Sus scrofa: one gene and its partners. The protein of the gene in region 3 interacts with the protein of the main gene of each other region in a biochemical or structural test. Links are inferred from orthologs where the notes say so. Each region holds a gene or a part of one and is shown on either strand. Other genes may lie near its edges. The genes, in order: USP5, MYL1 and UBC.

Region 1 (7,563 bases), on a different chromosome or scaffold from region 3:
CCACACTGTAGCTCACCGCAACACCAGATCCCACAAAGCAAGGCTAGAGACAGAACCTACATCCTCGTGGATACTAGTCAGACACTATGTTACTGCTGGGTCACAGTGGGAACTCCCTGTCCTGTCTTTTAAATGAAGGGTCGGCCCAGATGGTCTCTGTGGCCGTCCAATGCTACCAAGGCAGGGGAGGATGAACTCCTGGGCTTGGTTACCTGTTGGGGTGTGGCAGTCTTGCCGGTACCGATGGCCCACACAGGCTCATAGGCCAGGACAACCTTGTTCCAGTCCTTCACATTATCTGTGGGACAGAGATCACAGGTGGAAGGGTGAAGGAGGAGCGATCCAGCTGTTCCCCAGAGAATGAGTGATGGCGGCCTACTGCCCTCTGGTGGCTGTTAAGGGAACTCCAAGTGGCATCATATACTGTCAGGGGCAGGAGGGGAAGTGATAGGAAGGATACAAGGGTTCTTAGCCTCCCCTTTCCTGCATCAGCATGGGGAATCAAGTCAGGAGGCAAGGCATCTGACCCCGCCCTCTGTTCCTCCGTAGCCCTGGCTAGGTCCAAACGTCCCTTTCTCCAGAGATACCTGCGATGACCTTGGTTTGCTCGAAAACGACCTTCTCGGTGATGCCAGCTTCCCGCTCATCTAGCTTCTCCCCAATGCAGGCGATTACTCCAAGTCCCTCTGCCAGGGCATGGGCCACTTTCTGCCCAATCAGCTGTTGAGGAACAGACTTGGTGAGACACCTGTCTTGGAATAAGCCATCTCTTATCTCCTCTCCTGGTCACTAACCTCATCTGACTCTCCAAAGACATGCCTTCTCTCCGAGTGCCCCAGGACTACCCACGTGGCTCCGAGGTCTTTGATCATGCCAGGGCTAGAGGAAGAGAAAAAGCCATGGCTCAGGAGGGAGCCCACCCCATGGCTTTTCCCTCCATGAGGAGAATAAGGGCTGGGTCCCCCCAGTACACACACACACACCATCTTACCTGATCTCCCCAGTAAAGGCCCCATTAGCCACTTTGTAGCAGTTCTGTGCAGCCACGGCAATCTTGGGATCTAGCTTCTGCCTGGCGAAGTCAATGTAGGCGGTGGGGGGTGCGCAAACCACCTCTGAGTAGAAGACAGTGACAGAAGGGGATGGCATCACAAATCCAGACCCTATCCAGTGCTCTGGAGCCCCCTAGCCTCCACCGCTTTCATAGTTCTGCCTTCGCCCATTTCCACACCAGCATGATGATCTTTGTCTACTCTGCACCCCAGGCTGGGCCTGAACCCAACTCTGAACCTTTTGGGTACCCCTGAGAGGTCATGGCCCTTGCCCTGCCCTCTGCTCTTTTAACAGCTGTGGCTCTGATTTCCCCAGGCTATTCTGGGCCTGGGCACCTCCTAGACTCAGCATTCTCTGGGGCCAACCCCGCCTCCCTTCTAAAATAGCTCATTCCCACCTCTCCTAGCCAGGCAAGGATTTTTAGCAAAAGCAGAAAGGGCCAACTCCTGGGGTCTGTACTGCAGTCTCTGGGGGGAATAAACCAGAAGGGGGTGCCTCTTGATCAGACCCGGGGTTCTGTGATTTAGATGCCTGGGATGGGAAGGACTGAGGACGGCACTCTGTCCGTGGGTGGCAGCGAGTCGACTGGCTCATAGAGGCCTTGCGTTTTCCCGTATCCAGGTTGCAGAAAACAAGAGGATCGCTCCTCATCCCCACATGGCTCTGCCCGTTTGTCACTTGCTCAGCCCCTTCCGCAGAAGGGTCTTGCAGGCCGCCGAGGGGAAAGGATCAGAAGAGTAGCTCAAGAGGCCAAGGGCCACCCGGCAGGGGAACTCGGTAGCCCAGGCAAAGCGCGGGGAGGAGTCTGGGCTACGTGCGGCGGCGCACGGAGCCGGCGCCGAGGGGGCCCAGAAGCCTGCACGCAGCCTCCTCCCCCACACACCGGACTGGCGCCGGCCTCTCCCGATCGCCCGTAGGGGCTGGGCTCCACTTCCATCCCCGGCTCGGGCGGGTGCAGCCCCGGTCCGCACCCCGGAGCCGTCTTCCTCCCACAGTCGGAGGGCACAGGGAGATGCGGCTCCGCCTTTCCCCGTGGACACACCCCTGGTCCTGCGGCCGCAGGGCCAAGGCCGGGACCCCAGTAACTCTGGTCTCCGGCCCTGCAAGCAGGACCACGCAGACAACTGCTGAGAGAGCTCGGGAGAGGGCGCCACCACGCCCGACCTCCCACCCACCGCCAGGGCTCACCGGTGTCGGCCGGCAGCTTGGCTGCGTTGAGGGTGTTGATGAGCTCCCCCAGATTGTTCTTTCGCCCGTTCATCTTCCAGTTTCCCCCCACGAAGAACTTCCTAGCGGGCGCCATGGCGCTGGAGCCAGCACACTGAAGGTCAGGAGCAGCGCGCGGCCGTCTCCACTGGCCGCTTATATAGAGAGCGGAGAGGCAGAACCCCGCCCCCTTCGCGTCCTGGGCCATGACTGGCCCGCCCCGCGGAAGCCCAGCCCCGGCCCCGCCCGCCGCCCGCCGCCCGCCACCGCCCGCTGCCGCTCGCCGCCGCCCGCGTTGCGAGGTTCTGACGTCACCTTCTTTCTTGTAGCAACGTTCCAGCGGCGTCCAGGCTCGGTGGCTACAGCTTCCGTGGTCTGACTTTGGGGAGAACCGTGCGCCCGGTGCTCAGGGAAACCCCCGCTTCACGGCTTCATCACGCCACCCCCACACCGAGGGATAGGGGAGGGGCCTCTCTCCAGCTCTGGGAAAAGGAGCCTCCTTCCCCATCGGAGCCCCCACATCCCTGAGTGCTGAGCGGACACCTCTGACCCACCCGGGGCCGACCCAGCCCCACAGTAACTGGGCAAAAAACAGGGTTCAGCAGCGGAGGGATGGCCCACCTTGGCTAGAAACTGTGCAGCTAAGGGAGGGGGGTTCAGAAGTCCGCCCTGTCCCCATGAATACCCCGCTTTTTGCTCCAGCAGGCCAAGGCCTGACAAAGGACTACAGCCACTGGGGACATTTGGAAAGAACCCACCTGGGCCCCCTCCGGTATCACGGCTGCAAGAAAGGGCTCTTCCACCCCATCTCTGTTCTGTGACACCCCAGCCCACATCCCCTCATCTAACAGCCCCCACCCCGCAGCCTTCCTCTGCTGCCCCAGAGCTCACCTCACTCAGCCCCCAATCACACCAGCACAAAACATAGAAGGCAAAGGGGCAGGGCCAGGAGCTTTGTGAAACTGGCCCCGCTGCTAGCCCTGGGGAAGACAGCTTCCCCCAAAGGTATCAAACAGGACACAACTGAGCCACTGTACTTTTATTCACATCCTGTATTTTGGCATTTTCCAGAAGGACAGGGGAGAGACAGGGTGGGGAAAAGACTGAGGCAGGAGGGCGAGGGGGGTCCCCATTTCCCTCAGATCCCTCCTTGCCCAACCACACGGGGAGCACACACAACGGGGGAGGGGAGGCACAGAAGCCCCCTCCTGTGGAAGAGGCTGCACAAAGCTATACCCACGCCACACAAACAAACGAGCCCGCTCCACGCTGGGCCAGCAGGATCACAGAGAAGCAGAGCCCTGTGGGGTCAAGGGCAGGAAAGCAACAGTCTCCTCACAGACAGGCAGCCGGCCCCTCCCGTTCCCCTTCCTGCTCCATCCCCAAAGTCTCCAGAGTGCCCCCCCCACTTCGCTTGGCCATTCTCTCATAGCCTCTAGCTTCTTCCCTGCTGCTGGGGACACGAAAAGGAAAAGGGTACGGGAGCAGGGGGGCTGACATCCATCCCTCATGCCGGGTGGTCTGTCCCCTGCCCTCAGTGGTTAAGGGCTCAGGGTGGGCTCTTAGCTGGCCACTCTCTGGTAGAAGTAGATGTAGCCCAGGTCCTTGGGCGGCTTCTCAGAGGCACACACTTTCTGGTCGTTGTAGATCACCCATCTGGGGAAGAATGTGGGGGGAAAAGGATGAACAGCTCCTCTCTTGGAGGTGGCTCCTGGTGATTCCCGGGCAAAGGCTCCCAACATTCTCTGCCTGGGTCCCCAAACCTACAGTCCAGCTGCCTATCTGAAGGGAGCATCCCAATCTCACAGGGTCATTGCGACTGGACTCAGGGCTTTCAGACCCTGTGGTGTCTTTATAGCCACTTGCCACCCGTTCCTATTAGGCAGGGATCAGACAGGATATGTTTCGGGTTTTGCAGGCCATCTGGTCTCTGATACAACTACTTGACTTTCCTGTGGCAACTCGAAGAGAGCCACAGATAGATAAGTGGGTAATTGGCTGTGCTCACCAAGACTTTTTCTTTTTACGGCTGCACCTGCAAGCATACGGAGATTCCCAGGCTAGGGACCAAATTGGAGCCGTGGCCGCCGGCCTGTGCCACAGCCACAGTAACACCAGATCTGAGCCCTGCCTGCGAACTACACGCATCAAGCAGATTGCAGTAACGCCGGATCCTTAACCCACTGAGCGAGGCCCTGGATAGAACCCGCATGCTCATGGATGTTAGTCGGGTTCTTAACCCACTGAGCCACAATGGGAACTCTCAGTAGGACTTTATAAAAGTGAGTGGCCGAATTCAGCCTCTGGGCCCTTGTTGGCCAATCCCTGCCGTGAGGCTTTCTCTGTTTCCGCTGAGTTTGCGGCCCCACCAGCAACCCTTTACCTTCCCTCACACATAATCTGAGGACTTCCAGGATGCCCCTACCATTCCCACCATCACGCTCCCATTCAAAAACGCACGTGCTGGCCCCTCACCTGCCTTCCTTCTTGATGTGGCAGACATAGTGACCACACATGGTTGACGTGCCCATGTGACTAATGAAGGCGAAGAGCTGATACTCTAGGGAAGGGGGGGAGAGAGGGCAGAGAGGGAGGGCGGCTGGACCCCACAGCTCACACACAGGACGGGATTTCAGGGAACTGGAGGCATGCACTGGGCCCAGAGGCTCTCTCTCGTCCTAGGAACCCACCTCCAGGAGTCGAGCTGGTGGAAAGAAGCTTCTGCCCCCTGTCCGCCTCCTCCCACCACCCCAGGGAAGCAGACCTGGTGGAGCCAACGGGCTAGATCCCACCAGGCCTGTTCTGGTTTCAGGGGACACTCACTTCCAGGACCATCCCGGACTTTAGGTCCCACTGGTATGGACTCGGAGATGGAGTCGGCAGCGGAGCGGCCCTCCGAGATGTCCATGGCAGCCTCTGCGTCCAGGTCATCAATGTGACTGAAGATCCAGTCCACAGCCCGTTCTAAACTATTGTTCTTAGAAAAGAGAGAAGAGTCACTTTTTCTAGCACTGTCAGGCTGGAGAAGGCTGCCAGGGAAGGCCTCAGCTTCTTTATCTTTTTTTTTTCTTTCTTTTTTTAGCCTTTTCTAGGGCTGCACCCACAGCATGTGGCGGTTCCCAGGATAGGGGTCTAATCGGAGCTGTGGCTGCTGGCCTACACCACAGCCACAGCAGTGCAGGAACCGAGCCGCATCTGCGACCCACACCAGAGCTCACGGCAACACCAGATCCTTCACCCACTGAGCAAGGCCAGGGATCGAACCCGCAACCTCATGGTTCCTAGTCAGATTCGTTAACCACTGCGCCACGACGGGAACTCCGGCCTCGGCTCCTTTAGCATCTTTAGCTCCTCAGACCCGTTACGTGGGTCATCCTTGGTCTTGCTCACGAGGGATAGAAGCTTGCTCCCACCCTCTCCTTCCCACAGGACTGAGCTCGGCTGGGGGCAGGCTATACCGTGGCCCGCAGAGCTTTCAGGGCCTGGTCCCGGGAGAAGCCCATGGAGACAATGGTGGTCACGCAGTCCTCTGGTGGGGGGTCAGCTGCTGCGCTTGTGGAGCCGGGCCCGCTGGAGCCAGGCAGGATGAGAGGGTTCGCGAAATCTGTGGACGTGAAGGGGTTGAAGTGTGTGGGGCGTGCAGCGGCCCCGCCCCACCCAGCTCCCCACCCCAGCCTACCTGGATCGTCCATGTGCGACATGACCCAGTTCATGGCGGCCTCGGCCCCGCTGTTGCCCGTGTAGTAGACGGCTTTGCGGCAGGCGTCCATCGGGAAGCCCATCTCCACCAGCTGGATGATAACCGATTCATCCAACATGGGCGCTGTTGGCAGAGAAGCGCGGGCATGGGGCGTGCCTCCTGGGGCCACTCCCTGCCCCCTCCCTCCTGCCAGAGTCCAGCCCCCAGGACTCCCCCAACCACCTTGCATGCATTTTTCCTCCAAGGCCCAGCACCTGATTCCAGAACTAAAATGACAACACAACCTGATGGGGGGCCAGCCGTATCCGAAAGGTACAGAACTCAGGCTACAGATCCCCCAGGGAGCCCCTTCCTCGCCCACTGTCTGGAGGACGAGCCCCCGCCCCTGCCCCCACCCAAGTAACAAGGACAGAGGCAATCAGCCAGTGTGCCACCATCCACACAGAGACCATGGCTGGGAGGGCTCGATCGGTCCCCATGTTCATCAAGAGGGCCAAGGAAAATTTGAAAGGGAGGACAGGAGAAACACAAAGGACAGGGTCAAGGGGAGGCAGGCAGAGAAGATCCCCATCAGCAAGGGAAAGAGACAGGCAGGAAGAAGAGTCACTAACATGTTGGAGAGGAGAAGTGAGGGGAGCAGAAGGAGTCTTCGTCTTCGTTGCCATAGAAACCAAGGCTACCTTTGGGCTCATCCGGAGTGACCAGGGGTGGGGCAATGTCGGGCAGCTCCTCCTCTCCAGGCTGCAGCCCTGTGCCCCTCAGCTGGGAGATGTCTAGCTCCTCGGGCATCTCGATGGACACATCTGCGAGGGGACCGGCAGGACAAGGGTCACCTTGGCAGCTCCCGGAAGCCCTCCCGGGAAAAGCACTCTGGGAATCTCAAGCCCCCTGCCCCCGACTTGCTCAGAGCAGGACCCAGCACAGGAGTCACAGTGTAATAAAAGCCATCAGGCCAGGGGTCAGAAGACCTGGATTCCAGTCCTAGATCTTTTCACAATGAGCCACAGTCCAGGAAGGGGCCACAGATGATTCTATGCTTCCATGGGGCTCAACTTAGCTAGGAGGTCAAGTTAATTCTGCAGTTCACCAAGTGGTCAGGGGCCTGAAGACCCATGAGAACTCATTATTTTGAGATTATCAAAATGAGGAGATTATCAAAAATGACTCATCAGAAACAAATCTGACTAGTATCCATGAGGACGCAGGTTGGATCCCTGGCCTTGCCCAGTGGGTTAAGGACCCAGTGTGGCTGTAACATGTGGTGTAGGTCGCAGACATGGCTTGGATCCGGAGTGGCTGTGGCTGTGGTGTAGGCTGGCAGCTACAGATCCGATTCGACCCCTAGCCTGGGAACCTCCATGTGCCTCGGGTACAGCCCTAAAAAGATAAAAAAAAAAAAAAAAAAAAAAGATTATCAAAATGAAACCATCCTGCCAATTAGAAAACACAAAACTAGGAACATCACTTCTGGCTGTAAATTGTAACTATAAAATCAGAGAAGCCTTGATACTTTTAGTCGGTGCTTTTCACGGTGCTAGACACATTTCGAAAGCAGCTAAGATAATGTTTCTACTTTGAGAGAGTTGGAGAAGCACCAGTTCACA
Region 2 (8,396 bases), on a different chromosome or scaffold from region 3:
CCCTAATTTAAAACACATGCTGCAGGCACTGTGGGGTCATTAGTCAAATATTTTTTATCTTTCTAAGGGGCATGTAAAACTGAACTATTCTTGTTACTTGTTTAAGTCTTTCATGCAGATTGCTCAGAGGGCTCACTATTACCCTGGTCAGATGCTAATATAGAAATAGGATTTTATGGACTGTAATAGAATCTCTTTGACATTAACTCTCTTGTTGGTTTAAAGGCCAGAAAGATATGGCTCTTCCCACTTCAGATTTTTAAGGCTTTGTATTCTTTTTTTTTTTTGTCTTTTTGCCATCTCTTGAGCCGCTGTCGCGGCATGTGGAGGTTCCCAGGCTGGGGGTCTAATCGGAGCTGTAGCCCCCAGCCTACGCCAGAGCCACAGCAATGTGGGATCCGAGCTGCGTCTGCAACCTACACCACAGCTCATGGCAATGCTGGATCCTCAACCCACTGAGCAAGAGCAGGGATTGAACCTGCAACCCCATGGTTCCTAGTCAGATTCATTAACCACTGCGCCATGACGGGAGCTCCAGGCTTTGTATTCTTTTGAAGAATATAGAACATGAGTTAACTGATGACTGCCTAGGGGCTGGCCACCTGTTTTTGTAAATAGAGTTTGATTGGAATATATCCATACCCATTCATTTATGTGTTGTCTGTGGCTGTTTTCATACCTAAATAATAGAATTGAGTTGTTTTTATGGAGTCTGTAGTATCAGCAAAACCTCACATATTTACTGCTTAGCCCTCTATGAAAAAATTTGCCAGTCCCTAGTCTAGAACACCATTCTAGAACTTTTTTTTTTTTTTTTTTTTGGTCTTTTTAGGGCCACACCTGTGGCATATGGAAGTTCCCAGGCTAGGGGTCTAATTGGAGCTTCAGCTGCCAGCCACAGACACAGCCACAGCAACACTGGATCCAAGCCACATCTGCATCCTATACCACAGCTCATGGCAACGCCAGATCCTTAACCCACTGATCGAGGCCAGGGATTGAACCCACGTCCTCAGGGATACTAGTCGGGTTTGTCACTGCTGAGTCAGGACGGGAACTCTTCCTAGAATTTTTTATGATGATTGAAATGTTCTATATCTGGGCTTTCTAAAAGAGTAGTAGCTACTAGCCACCTGTGGTTCTTGAGCACTAAAATATGACTAGTGCAACTGAGAAAATAGACTTTTAAACATATTTATTTTTGCTTAATTAAAGGTTAAATTTAAATAGCCACATGTCACTAGTGGTAACTCTACTGGACAGCACAGAACTTAGACCTTTAGAACACTTTAATTTTCCAGTTTTTTTTTTTCTTTACTCCAAACTCGTGATATATTCAAATAGAGAAGCCAAGAGAAAAACTCTAATCATTGAACACGGGAGCAAAGTAAGTCTTTATTGCTGAAAATATAAGATTTCCTTTTAATTTAAAATGCTTAGATTTGCTTTCCTGGCACAGGAGAAAACGTCTCCCACACCAACATTTACTGAACCTCTACATCTAAAACCTATTTCACATACAGTAATAATCCAAATGTTCCACTGCAAGCCCTTCTGTCTCTGAAAGGGTTTTTGAGTCTTCTATTGCTTGATTCTGCCATAGTTTGGAAGTCATAATGACACAGTAAATTAGATATTTTAGAGGACTGGAATGCAGTATAATTGCAGCATCACTAGTTAAAATAACCAGCAAGGCCCTACTGTAGAGCATAGAGAACTATACTCATTATTTTGTAATAACCTATACGGGAAGAGAATCTGAAGTGTATGTATGTATGTGTGTGTGTATATATACACATATGTGTGTATATATATGTGTAACTGAATATCTATACATATATATGTATAACTGAATCGCCCCTGAAACATACATAATATAAATCAGCTATACTTCAATAAAAATTATAATAAATAAAAAATACATTAAACATAAAACAATTATAGTAGAATCATCAACTGTTTTCAATAAGAAAACATAGTCTTTTGTAGTATAATTTCAGATGATCTTGAATTCTAAGTTATCAAAGCTTCTACTCTCTCTACATGAAGGCATTAACCATACTGTAGAAATATATGTCTTTACAATAGCAAATATCCTTTTTTCCTTAACTAATATCCAAACATGAGATATTTTGGACGCTGAAAAAGACTGAAAATGTTGAATCCTTTAGGTAGAGAAATGAGGTATAACTATAATCATACATTTATGAGTATTATTACAATTATTTACATATTATATATTATAACATATAATATATACATACTTATTATGACCAATATTAAAACTTACACAATATTATATAATTAAAATTTTCTCTTCTCCCTTCTTAGATGTATTTTTGTCTCAGTTTATTTAAATATGTGACACTTGCACTCCATAAACATTCTGCCCTAAGCTTTCTAGTGAAAAAGCAAGATTGATAGGGCACAAGATCTCTTGGGACCAAAGACCTGAAGAAGAAAAAGTGGAAGTCTTAGGGAAACTATTCAGATTCTCTTGAATCTCCAAAGTTTGAAGTCTTCTAGTTAGAAACTGTTTGTATGATAGAAATTTCTAATTAATTCAAACTAATACTAGATTTTGATCCTAACATTAATTGTTGGGAGCTTTAAGCCAGTTTCAGTACTTTTCTGGGAGCCTGTCCTGCATCTCTAAAACTGGACCAGGAGATGTCTAAGCTTCCTTCAATAGTTTTTTCTTTTTTATAAATTATTTCCCTTCTCTTTGTCTCTGAATGCACTTTTATTCTATATCCCCTTCATCCGCTATTTTTCTCAACTTACTGTGGTGCCCATTGATATGTGGATTTGGTAATTAAGCAGTTTTGTAATCAATTTTGTTTTCTACACTGAACAATTTAGACATGTCCAATCTCTCTTTAGGGATTTCGTTGACAAATTAACCATCCTAAGTCCACATCATTTTGGGGGTTATATAGCGGGTAGTATTACTTACTGTATCAAATTGGTTTTATTAAGAAATCAGTGAGTATAAGGAATTCTTTTGTGGTATTTAGCTTTTGCTTGCTTAAATTTTTCGTTACTGATTATAAGCAAAAAGTTCACATTGAGAGACTTTATATTTAGAGTGATTGAGAGCATTTATATTTAGAGTGGCAACACCAGTGGGGATAATTAGAAAGAGCTAATCTCATCTCAGAGGAGTTGGTTTTCTCACATGCCATCTTTATAAGTGTGCACATTTAAAAACTATGTCGTTTAAACTTACCATCCTGCTGTTCCTTAGAGAACTCGATCTGTTAGAAAGAAATTAACCACAAAGAATATTTTAACCAAACAAAAATGTCCTGGTTTTTAAATGTATCCAAGCTCATTCCCTGAGTAATCTTCAAAGTAAGCTCAAAAAGTATGCTTACTTTTCAGAATTCAGGCATAGCTTGGATACTAATAGGTTGAGCCACACAGTAACATGCCTTGGAGATGAGTGATATTTCAGAAACTAAGCAGTTCTCTGCCTACATCTGTAATAGAGAAGCTTGATTCACTTACCAGCAATCTGGTCAGCACTGAAGGACTGCAGTGGCGAGAGAGAGGAAGAAAGAAAGAAACAACTAGTACTCTTTCAAATGCATTGACAGAAGAGAGTGCTTTTTGCTTCAAGATGTTTAGGAAGCCATGTAGGTGTCATAGAATAAGAGTTGCCTTAGGACATTTTTGAGTCTAGGAAAAATAAAAAGCTACTGCACAAGATAGTTAGGGAACATCTCTCTGCATCTTAATACACGAGTCAATGATTTAACAAATGCTAAATCAGATTCTTTCTGGAAAAATATAATAATCTATGGTGTATTTAAGATATATCTAATAAAGATATACTTACTAAGAAGTTCATATAGACTGCATTAAAAAGATCATTTTAAATCTTTCTTCTTTTTAACCAGTACATTTTTACCCAATGCATTGGAAGTAGTTTACTTAATTTTAGTTATTGGCACCATTGGATTGTTTTCTAAGGTATACTATTTTGCTATAGTTGAAGGTTTTTTTTCCCCTAAATTTAGATATAATAAACCTTATGTGATATAGCAAAGTTGGTGAAGCATAAAATATGCTTTTGGGAATAAGATGTATTTTTCTAGTTGAAGTAATAGCTTGAATTAATTTCTTCTATTCTTAACCCACCTCAGCAAAGCCCCAGAATAGATTCTACAGATTCATACTGAATATGTTCTCTCCTCAGTTTTATTCCTACCCACTATCTGTATCTTTCTGTAAGTTACAGTTTTTCTCATAGGACCCACCATGATGAAACTGCTGGGCTGCAAACAGCGGCGAAGCTGAAGAGTGAGTTGAGGGCTGATCCAATCCCTGAGTGGGGGGCCTCCCTTGCTGAGGCTCCCTTTTATTTCTGGAGAAGCTCTGACTTCATAACTAGCATCAGATTTCAGAGAGAGGTAGCCACACCCCTTGGAGAGTTCTTTAGCTTTCTTAGGGCAAAGGGAAAGAGGGATCTGTACCCTGAGGTCTATTTTTAGGAAATCAGAACCTAGGAGTGGACAGCCATAGTGAGACCAATGCCTATCAGTACTTTTATGGTCTTTATCCCTGAGAAGTTCTCTTGGACTGTCTTCCTTTAAGAAGCTCCTTATGTGTTCAGTGGCAAAGGAGCTTAGAATTTCTCTAAAGACTTGAGCTGACCTCTTCTCTTGGTTAATTATGGACTTGGCAAACTTCAAGTTAGCAATTTTGGTAGTAATGAGACTTTTTGTGTAGGACTGGTTTAGGATTTCAAATGGCAACATTTACAGAAGGAATGCCTTCTGAAGCTCTGTCCCTTGTGGTAAAGTTCAGAGGACTTAAAAGGGCCATGCATATTCTGTATGTTTCTTAGGGTCCACTCCAGTGAAAATCTGGTCAGTTTGTGAAATCTCCAATTAAGGACCATTATTTTGCAAGTTGTATTCTCAGGAGTATAGAGTTTAAGCTAGGAATGGTTTTAATCTCCATTTTCACCAATCTCCTTTAGTTTGTTTTTTATGTTAGGGGTGAGTATTTGCTTTCCTTCCATTATCTTTATGGTGGCTAACTAGTCATATTTTTTGAATTTATGAAGTTCTAGGAAGGAGAGCTGATAGATCATTTTTGTGTTCTTTTACTTTCATTCTATACATATATTCTTTTAAAATTTAAAAATGTTGCTTATGTTCTTACTAGAATGACCTGATTTCCTCTCTGCCATGTCAAACATTTTTATGGCTTCATCTCCAGACTGAGAACTAAAAGAATCCAAAGCAGAGGATGTGAAATGCAAAGTTGTACTTTAGAATTTTAAAGGTATCTGAGGGATTGGCTGGTAGTAAATTTTCATGGCAGCTTACCTGATAATAGAGGGCAATTCCCTTCTTAGAATGGCACTGGGAAAAGATCAGTTTAAGATGTCCACTAAAGTTCAGACTTGTTTATCAGTTTTCTACATGTTTAAAGGAGTTCAAAGCATAAAGAATGTTGGAGACAAATTCAAATTTATGCACTGTTTCAGCAACTGCTTTTAAGGGAATGGTCACAAAAAGTGTAGTCTCCTTCTGATAGACAGTTTTGTATTTTGAAGCTTTCCCTCAAGCCATTTGGAAAAAAAATCAACATTTAAATGAGTATAATTTTTCATCCAAAGTTTACAAGTAACAAAAAAAATTTCATAGAGTCTGAGTCCCAAAATGGGGATTAAAAATATAATTTAAAAATATTAGAGCCCAGGTAGACATATCTTCATGAACAGATTGCCATTTTGAGAGGCTGTTGGGAAATGGAAGTTAAGAGAAAAAATTTGAACCCTTTGAATCATTAGGGGGAAATGAAAGTGAGAAATAAAGGTGGAAATTTGTCACCTTGATAATTGTGTAATTGGAGTTTCATGATTTTTGATATATTAGAGCCATTAGAGCAGACTATGTTTCTTTGTGTTCTTTTTAGTCTTTTATTTTTATTTATGTATTGTGTCAATAAGTTTGAATTGCCCTATGATTAATATTGAGTACTGGCATGTATCTTTAGTAAATAACTGTAGGTAATACCAAAAACTCATCAAAGTTGCCCTACATAATGCCTATCATATGCCCTGTACAATGCTCATTTTCATTTTTTTTTTCAGGTAGAAATATGTGTCCTTGAATAAATATAAAATACAGTCAGTTTGTGTAAAATCTGTTGAGTAAACTGGAAAGTCATTTTAATAGTTTTATTTTTATTATAAATATGTTATTCATAACCACTTGGATGTTAAAGCTTTATTATTATTAAAATAGAATTGAGGCAGTTGTCAAACTATTTCATGCCAGTTTTTCTCTACATTTTTAATCACATAGAGTGGAAGTTTAGTTTTTTTATGCTTATTGAGAAAGTAAACCTTTAATCAAGCTATTGACATTTGTAGATAAGGCCATGATCAAGCCTGGTCTAGAGAATAAACTACAGTTTAAAAGTTAGAAGACCAAGATACTGTGCTCATAGAATAAATGGGGGATGCTATTTATTCTCTGGTACATTTTACACCTTTACAAATGGCAATAGCTTTCTCTTGTATTTCTTTCTGGGTGTTATAATGATGAAGTAATCAGCCCTTTGAACAAATGGCATGATATGAATACAAAATGTCAGCTGATTTTTCAACTCAGTTTGCTATGTCATCATTTAGTTTGTTTTGAAAATTAGATTTAAGTCTCTTCTATCTGGAATGCTTCTTAGAATTTAACTATCCTTCAAATCCCTGATAAAAATCTCCTCTGGAAAGAAAATTTTCTACTTGCCTAGCTCCTTTCTCCGCTGAAAGACGTTTAATCTTCCTGATTGCCACCTTCTGGGAAGCACAGGATGTTACTGGGACCATTTCCCTTGGTCCATGATGTGAATCCGGGTGCGAGCCAACATCTCTACCCCCTAGATTTTATCTTCCGTAACTCGATAAAATGTCTTGCCTATAGTTAGGATGCTCAGCAGAATTTTCATTAAGATCATTAGAGCATATGTATAGTAAGTTCCTCTTTCAAACAAGGCTCCTCTTCTAGAATGTTATATTCCCTGAGGTAAGAGACCTTATCAGTTCTTCAAAGAGCTTGCATTCTGGGGCGGGAAGTGGGGAGGCACACATTCTCTTTTGATGGTACATCTCCAGCACCTAGAACGCACATTGTAGGCATGCTCGCTCTGAATTCTTGACGTACATCCTTTTATATTTCCAGAACCCTTTCGTAGATTTTATATAAGTGCTATGATCAGGACTTCTAATTTGCCAGCCCTCAATTTTGTTTTTTTTGTTTTTTGTTTTTTTTTGTAAATGGGTTCTTCCATCTTAGCCTACATACTTATCTTAGACTGCTGGTAAAATAACTACATCTCACATTTTTGCTATTCCTATACCATTTGGTATTGGATTTCAGTACGTGGTAGTCAACAGGTACTAATATTTAAAAATATTTTTATTACAGTGTTTTCAGATTGTTTCTCATTTTGAGAAATATTTTTGATAGTAATCATGAGATTTGGTTAGCTGATTAAAGGCAAGATAAAGTTTCTGATATATAGAAGGAATATATTTATAGGAAAAAATATTAAAATGCATTTAATTGAACAGGCTTTGGAATTTATGTATGTTAAGCTTTAGCATAACAAGAAGAGCTATAATTCAAGATGATCTGGGAGAATGTCGAATACTGAGGGCTAATGCCCTGGTAAGGAACGTAGACTATGATCTTTAAAGAACTTCATCACCACTGCTAGGTAAAATGGGGCTAGTCACCAGTGAGGCCAGGTAAAGGCATTAATCTAACCAGGGCCAGTTTTCAATCAAGAAAACATTGCTTCCTGTTCTTTGATGTAATGCCTGTCAGGGAGAACAAAGACCTGGATGTATGCAAATCCTAACAAAAATTTAATAATTTTCACTCTAATCTCAGAGTTATGAGGAATCCTTGTAAAAGGCAGGCAGAAGCACTATTTTGAAACTCTTTGAGAGTTTTGTGTTTCAGAACAATTCACTTAATTTAAAGGAAATAGATATTTTTATTGCATTTTTTTATTTCAAGAAAGGCTATATTTAAGGCTGCTGACTCTAATCTAATCTAAAAGAGAAATTAAGAACAATGAGAATACAGTACCAGCCTGGTTTGTCTAATGTAAGAGAGAAGTAGATGGCTATATTGGGTAAGTTGATCAGAAGAGGAAATTTGTAATTCTGTTCTTAGGATGTCTTGACCAGTCAACTGAATTTAGTCATATCAGAACAAAGGCTGAATTATTAAAATAATACAATTCAGACCTACAAGAATTAACAGAGAGGTTTAAGTGAATTTTAATAAAAATTTTAAAATGTGACCTTAGTCAATACTTTGGATTTCTTATCAGCTGTCACTGTTGATAGATGATAAACAAACTTAAGATTC
Region 3 (7,003 bases):
AAAACCATCTTTTACTGACATTTCTTACCTCCTGTTTACCACAGATTATGTAGCAGACTGAAAACACTTGATCTCTTATACCCAACCCGACCTAAAAAAAAAAATCCTCCTTAGACACTTAAAAATAAATCACACTATTTTGGAATGCAACAACTTTATTGAAAGAAAAGTGCAATGAAATTTGTTGAAAGCTTAAAAGGGAGAACTTAGAAACCTCCCCTCAAGCGCAGGACCAAGTGCAGGGTGGACTCCTTCTGGATGTTGTAGTCAGACAGGGTGCGCCCATCTTCCAGCTGCTTCCCGGCAAAGATCAGCCTCTGCTGGTCTGGGGGGATGCCTTCCTTGTCTTGGATCTTCGCCTTGACATTCTCGATGGTGTCGCTGGGCTCCACTTCCAGGGTGATGGTCTTACCAGTCAAGGTCTTCACGAAGATCTGCATCCCACCTCTGAGGCGGAGGACCAGGTGCAGGGTGGACTCCTTCTGGATGTTGTAGTCAGACAGGGTGCGCCCATCTTCCAGCTGCTTCCCGGCAAAGATCAGCCTCTGCTGGTCTGGGGGGATGCCTTCCTTGTCTTGGATCTTCGCCTTGACATTCTCGATGGTGTCGCTGGGCTCCACTTCCAGGGTGATGGTCTTACCAGTCAAGGTCTTCACGAAGATCTGCATCCCACCTCTGAGGCGGAGGACCAGGTGCAGGGTGGACTCCTTCTGGATGTTGTAGTCAGACAGGGTGCGCCCATCTTCCAGCTGCTTCCCGGCAAAGATCAGCCTCTGCTGGTCTGGGGGGATGCCTTCCTTGTCTTGGATCTTCGCCTTGACGTTCTCGATGGTGTCGCTGGGCTCCACTTCCAGGGTGATGGTCTTACCAGTCAAGGTCTTCACGAAGATCTGCATCCCACCTCTGAGGCGGAGGACCAGGTGCAGGGTGGACTCCTTCTGGATGTTGTAGTCAGACAGGGTGCGCCCATCTTCCAGCTGCTTCCCGGCAAAGATCAGCCTCTGCTGGTCTGGGGGGATGCCTTCCTTGTCCTGGATCTTCGCCTTGACGTTCTCGATGGTGTCGCTGGGCTCCACTTCCAGGGTGATGGTCTTACCAGTCAAGGTCTTCACGAAGATCTGCATCCCACCTCTGAGGCGGAGGACCAGGTGCAGGGTGGACTCCTTCTGGATGTTGTAGTCAGACAGGGTGCGCCCATCTTCCAGCTGCTTCCCGGCAAAGATCAGCCTCTGCTGGTCTGGGGGGATGCCTTCCTTGTCTTGGATCTTCGCCTTGACGTTCTCGATGGTGTCGCTGGGCTCCACTTCCAGGGTGATGGTCTTACCAGTCAAGGTCTTCACGAAGATCTGCATCCCACCTCTGAGGCGGAGGACCAGGTGCAGGGTGGACTCCTTCTGGATGTTGTAGTCAGACAGGGTGCGCCCATCTTCCAGCTGCTTCCCGGCAAAGATCAGCCTCTGCTGGTCTGGGGGGATGCCTTCCTTGTCCTGGATCTTCGCCTTGACGTTCTCGATGGTGTCGCTGGGCTCCACTTCCAGGGTGATGGTCTTACCAGTCAAGGTCTTCACGAAGATCTGCATCCCACCTCTGAGGCGGAGGACCAGGTGCAGGGTGGACTCCTTCTGGATGTTGTAGTCAGACAGGGTGCGCCCATCTTCCAGCTGCTTCCCGGCAAAGATCAGCCTCTGCTGGTCTGGGGGGATGCCTTCCTTGTCCTGGATCTTCGCCTTGACGTTCTCGATGGTGTCGCTGGGCTCCACTTCCAGGGTGATGGTCTTACCAGTCAAGGTCTTCACAAAGATCTGCATCCCACCTCTGAGGCGGAGGACCAGGTGCAGGGTGGACTCCTTCTGGATGTTGTAGTCAGACAGGGTGCGCCCATCTTCCAGCTGCTTCCCGGCAAAGATCAGCCTCTGCTGGTCTGGGGGGATGCCTTCCTTGTCCTGGATCTTCGCCTTGACATTCTCGATGGTGTCGCTGGGCTCCACTTCCAGGGTGATGGTCTTACCAGTCAAGGTCTTCACGAAGATCTGCATCCCACCTCTGAGGCGGAGGACCAGGTGCAGGGTGGACTCCTTCTGGATGTTGTAGTCAGACAGGGTGCGCCCATCTTCCAGCTGCTTCCCGGCAAAGATCAGCCTCTGCTGGTCTGGGGGGATGCCTTCCTTGTCCTGGATCTTCGCCTTGACGTTCTCGATGGTGTCGCTGGGCTCCACTTCCAGGGTGATGGTCTTACCAGTCAAGGTCTTCACGAAGATCTGCATCCCACCTCTGAGGCGGAGGACCAGGTGCAGGGTGGACTCCTTCTGGATGTTGTAGTCAGACAGGGTGCGCCCATCTTCCAGCTGCTTCCCGGCAAAGATCAGCCTCTGCTGGTCTGGGGGGATGCCTTCCTTGTCCTGGATCTTCGCCTTGACATTCTCGATGGTGTCGCTGGGCTCCACTTCCAGGGTGATGGTCTTACCAGTCAAGGTCTTCACGAAGATCTGCATCCCACCTCTGAGGCGGAGGACCAGGTGCAGGGTGGACTCCTTCTGGATGTTGTAGTCAGACAGGGTGCGCCCATCTTCCAGCTGCTTCCCGGCAAAGATCAGCCTCTGCTGGTCTGGGGGGATGCCTTCCTTGTCCTGGATCTTCGCCTTGACGTTCTCGATGGTGTCGCTGGGCTCCACTTCCAGGGTGATGGTCTTACCAGTCAAGGTCTTCACGAAGATCTGCATCCCACCTCTGAGGCGGAGGACCAGGTGCAGGGTGGACTCCTTCTGGATGTTGTAGTCAGACAGGGTGCGCCCATCTTCCAGCTGCTTCCCGGCAAAGATCAGCCTCTGCTGGTCTGGGGGGATGCCCTCTTTTTCTTGAATCTTCCCCTTGACATTCTCAATGGTGTCACTGGGCTCCACTTCCAGGGTGATGGTCTTACCAGTCAAGGTCTTTACAAAGATCTGCATTGTCTGTTACAACACAAAAACAACAGGAAAAAAAAAAGCCCAAAGTTCAGCAAGAAATTCACAGGCCAATATATACCCAGTGCTAAATAATTCATTATCACTTTGTAGTAGCCAAATAACTGACGTGCCTAAAAACCTCACAGGCTTGACAATTAACCTCAAATCCAACGTCTCAGGCGTTTAAGAAAGCAAAACATGGAAACCTGACCCAGGTAAATTCGCGGACCTACTTATCCTCCCCCTCAATGGATGTCTGTCCTCTGTCAACACGGCAGCGTTTACCCCAGGCCCAAACCCTGTGTCCCCAAACTACTAAACATCTTCCTACACACATAGCGGCAGGTGGCCCCACCCTAGGCTATGAGCCCACAAAAAGGGGTGAGGCCTCGTCACGGTCGTGGATCGCAAGTCCCCTGCCCCAGAAGCGTTCAGGCCAACTCAGCGGCACCAGCAGTTAGTGTCCCTTCACAGGGACGGAAAACCGAAGTTCTCGCCGCGCGCCAGCCAGCCAGTCGAGCCGGAAAGCAATGACCTAGCATTCGATCCCCGAAACACTGCACAACCCCGTTCCACAAACGGCCGGGCCCCGCCATCAATGGAAGCCTCCGCGCCTCTCGTTTCCGTTTCACCCAGTGCTCCTCGCCCGCCCCCAATTTCTCTCTCCCACCTCAGAGCCCGCTTCAGAGGCCGGCTTCTCCCACAGAGAGATTGGGAACGGCCGCCATTTTGCTCTAGGTGGCCGTTCGTCTTAAGGCTATTCCGCACGAGGGCCCCGGGTGACTAAGCAGCTCGGCTGCCCTTCCGCCGCGGCGGGCAAGCAGACCTCCCGCACCCACCCCCGCAGCCGCAAGACCCCCGGACGTCCGCCTCACCAGGTGGCAGTGGCAACAGCGGTCACAGAAGAAACGCAGGCAAACTCCCGGCCTCCACGAAACTGCCTGCGCCACACCCGGTGCTTCCTTATATAGCCATCGGTAGCACCGCCCCAGTAGATTCCTCCGCAGAAACGCCGAGAAGGGACTACTTTTCGCGGCCCTTCCTGCCCTCTGAAGAGAGAAGCAGTCCCCCCAGAATCTTCTAATTTCACTCCTAGAATGCTTTCCTGTGAAGACTCGAACACTGGGGCTGATTTTGGGGGGGGGGGACGAGGCCTTAGTCCTGAGCGGCCGAGCGGAGGGATCAGCGTGTTCGCTGAACACTGCGTCCGCGGACAGGGCCGGTACTCGGCTGGTTGGGGGGGGTGTGGGGGAGGTGCCGCGGAAGGTGCGAAAACCCGACACGGAGTCCTCTGAGCGTCCGGAGGGGGCTGTCCCCGCTGCCGGTCCCCGGCGCCCCCTCCCCTCAACCAGGAAGGCTCGCCTTTCCTGAGACCCGCCCTCGGCTAACAGGGGTCCCGCCGAGCGCCTCACGATGAATCGGGGTCCCGCTCCCCTGGCCCGAGTTCCGCCGTGCCCCTCCCCCCAACCCCTCTTCCCCGCCAGCGAAACCGTGGGGTCTTTATTCTGGGTCTCCCATAGGTAACGATAGTGTTTCTGTTTCCATAAACTTCCCCTCACCCCCAGTGGGTCGCGAGGACTTCCCGGGGGGTCTAGTCACCCCAACTGTGGCGGCCGAACCCATCCCCCTGCGGGCGGGCACCGGGACAAGAGGAATGACTCGACAAATCTCGGGGCCGGGCCTCAAGCCCGCCTCAGGAGGGTCGTCAGGACCTGCAGGAATTTTCTCACAACGCAGGAGTGAAAAATAAGTGTCCAAAGGAGAAATGCCTGTGACAAGTTCACATTGAATTTTGAAAAGTAAAAGCAAAAATTCCACACAGCTGTGAAACACTCCTTGCGCTGGACCTGAAAGCTGACAGAACTTTGCGGATTGCTCTTCGGCCTTCCTGTTTTGTTCCCGATTATGAGCAAGAAGGCATCAGAATTTCACTTCTGCTGCCATTTGAACTCAGAAATCAGAAATCAAATCTATTTAAACCCACGTTTTCTTTTTTTCTTTTTTTTAATTTTATTTTTTAATGAAGTTTTTTATTGTAGTTGATTTATAATGTCAATTTCTGCTTTACAGCAAAATGATAGTCATGCATATATATACATTTCCTTTCTTATCGCTGAGCCTGAGATTTTTAAAAGGACACTAATTGTAAGTTCTGTATAGTCCTGGTGGAAAAAAGACCCCAAGTATGAAATTTAAATCTATAGACAAATTCCATTTGGATAAAAGAAAAAGATCACCAGTCAGATCTTTTTCATTTTGATATTTTATTTTGTGATCTCTGTGTCATTTCTCCAGCATATTTTTTCCTTTTTTCAAAAAGCATACTTAAATTTTTTTCCAAAGGCATATTTTAAAAATGTTTTAAAATATATGAACGTGATGAAAACTTAAAACAGGTTTTCTATAGTTTATAATGAAAAACCTCCCTCATGCACTCAATTCCCTAGCCACTGTTCTTTCTAGACTCTTCTAGAAATATTCTCTATTTCTATAAATGTGGGGAGGGTGTTTTTAATTTTTACCCTTGAAGCTTTCAATAAATATATAGAAAAAGAGAGAACCGACTAAAAAATACCCTGCTATTAGGAAAAGACTACATTCCTGTTGGAATTATAAACATTATGTTATTTAAATACTGTACTTAAAATGAGAATAAAAACAAAACTATGTTTTCTTTGGCAACCTGTGTCTGTAGGTATTTATGGGAAAGGTCTAAGCAGTATTCAAAACAGACTTTAACTCCTATCGTTTTAAACATTTTCAAAGAGAATGAATTCATTACCAAGAAATGTAAATGAATAATAAAAATAAAATGTCATTTTTCAGTTTAGCAGGAGACCTCAGTGACTTCCAGTAGAGATTTCTGTGAGGGATATTTCTAAATTTCTGAAAAGAGGGTTTAAAGGAACAGAACATCAAAGCTCTGTATAAGGTTTCCTTCTTGAATTCCAGAAAGAAGTTTTCAGAGGAACAAAAAGCTGAGGTTCTTTCTCAGGTGACTAGGCCTGGCTTCAAACCACACCCTGTTTTCTTTTGGCTGTTCTTTCACTGCAGGTCTTATGATTCATGTTGTTTAAAGGCTGAGTCACGAGCTTTGTGACATAGCTTTTTTTTCAAGAGTCCAAAAACTACAGAGAAAAACAGACCTGATTTCAGAGGCAAGGGAAGGTGAAAAGGAGAAAGAGGGGGAGAGGGGGAAGAAGAAAGGCTCCAAGGGTGAGGACTGGGTCCCAGGGCTATCTCCAAAGAGAAAACAATATTCTTAGGCGCTAACAACACTGATGTTGTCTCTAGCAGGAAAATTCTCTACTAGAGAATTTTGGTCTCTAAGTCCAACAGTGGGTTTTGTTGAAGCAAATAGAAATAAACATTTGTCCAAGGGCACTGAAGTGAAAGGGAGGAGGGGGAAGTAAACTCTCAGGGAGGTAGATGCTGTTTCTCTAGAGCAGTGGTTCTCAACCAGGAGCGACTTGGTCCCTTGGTGGACACTTGGCAGTATCTGGAGACATTTTTGCTTGTCACAGCTGTGGTGTTGGGGTTGAGGTGTGCCGCTAAAATCTAGTGGTAGAGGCCAGGGATGTTACTAAACATCCTGCAGTGGCCAGTCCCCCACAAAAACAGAATTACCCAGCCCCCAAAGTCAGCAATGCAATGGGTTGACAAATTCTGCTCTACGGAGGATTTTTGTTGTTTTTGTTAGAGCTGCTTTTCTGTTTGCTGAGAAGGGCTCCCAAAGTCTAAATGTCCCACTTGGATTCGGGGATCGTGTACCAAGTCACGTTCCTACAACCTAAAATCCCTTGACCTAGAATGCAATGTGCTAGAATATGCCAGAAGCAGGATGAGTCATTGGATCCATTTTCAGTTCCTTCCACCCACTGATCCATCCTTTGCAGGTGCCCCAGAAGGGATGGCTTCAGAGCTGGCACCAATGGAAGAGTGACAGAGGCCCAGCAACACGGCAGGATTGGCGGGCAGGCAAGAGCACGTGATGGGCTGAGCTCACAAAGGGCCTGGGTGTTGGGCTGTTGGGGATTGGACTGGAGCCTACCTGTCTG

The links.
Region 1: the proteins of UBC (region 3) and USP5 form a complex in vitro, tested with the Homo sapiens proteins (31 studies listed by BioGRID, with this or other methods). The link is inferred for Sus scrofa from reciprocal best matches to the Homo sapiens genes UBC and USP5.
Region 2: the proteins of UBC (region 3) and MYL1 form a complex in vitro, tested with the Homo sapiens proteins (2 studies listed by BioGRID). The link is inferred for Sus scrofa from reciprocal best matches to the Homo sapiens genes UBC and MYL1.

The regions. Positions count from the first base shown.
Region 1 is NC_010447.5:63,840,459-63,848,021, forward strand, and holds the end of USP5 (ubiquitin carboxyl-terminal hydrolase 5), read right to left. Parts: intron 6,763-7,563; coding exon 6,640-6,762; coding exon of another isoform or gene 6,571-6,639; intron 6,083-6,570; coding exon 5,718-6,082; intron 5,237-5,717; coding exon 5,083-5,236; exon of another isoform or gene 4,820-5,082; coding exon 4,735-4,819; intron 3,916-4,734; coding exon 3,822-3,915; 3' UTR 3,284-3,821; downstream 1-3,283. UniProt on the Homo sapiens protein: Deubiquitinating enzyme that participates in a wide range of cellular processes by specifically cleaving isopeptide bonds between ubiquitin and substrate proteins or ubiquitin itself.
Region 2 is NC_010457.5:113,046,981-113,055,376, forward strand, and holds the start of MYL1 (myosin light chain 1/3, skeletal muscle isoform), read right to left. Parts: upstream 4,336-8,396; 5' UTR 4,266-4,335; coding exon 4,263-4,265; intron 3,536-4,262; coding exon 3,511-3,535; intron 1-3,510. UniProt on the Homo sapiens protein: Non-regulatory myosin light chain required for proper formation and/or maintenance of myofibers, and thus appropriate muscle function.
Region 3 is NC_010456.5:28,253,906-28,260,908, reverse strand, and holds the end of UBC (polyubiquitin-C), read right to left. Parts: 5' UTR 6,997-7,003; intron 4,181-6,996; exon of another isoform or gene 4,074-4,180; 5' UTR 3,821-4,073; exon of another isoform or gene 3,616-3,820; intron 2,952-3,615; 5' UTR 2,949-2,951; coding exon 207-2,948; 3' UTR 138-206; downstream 1-137.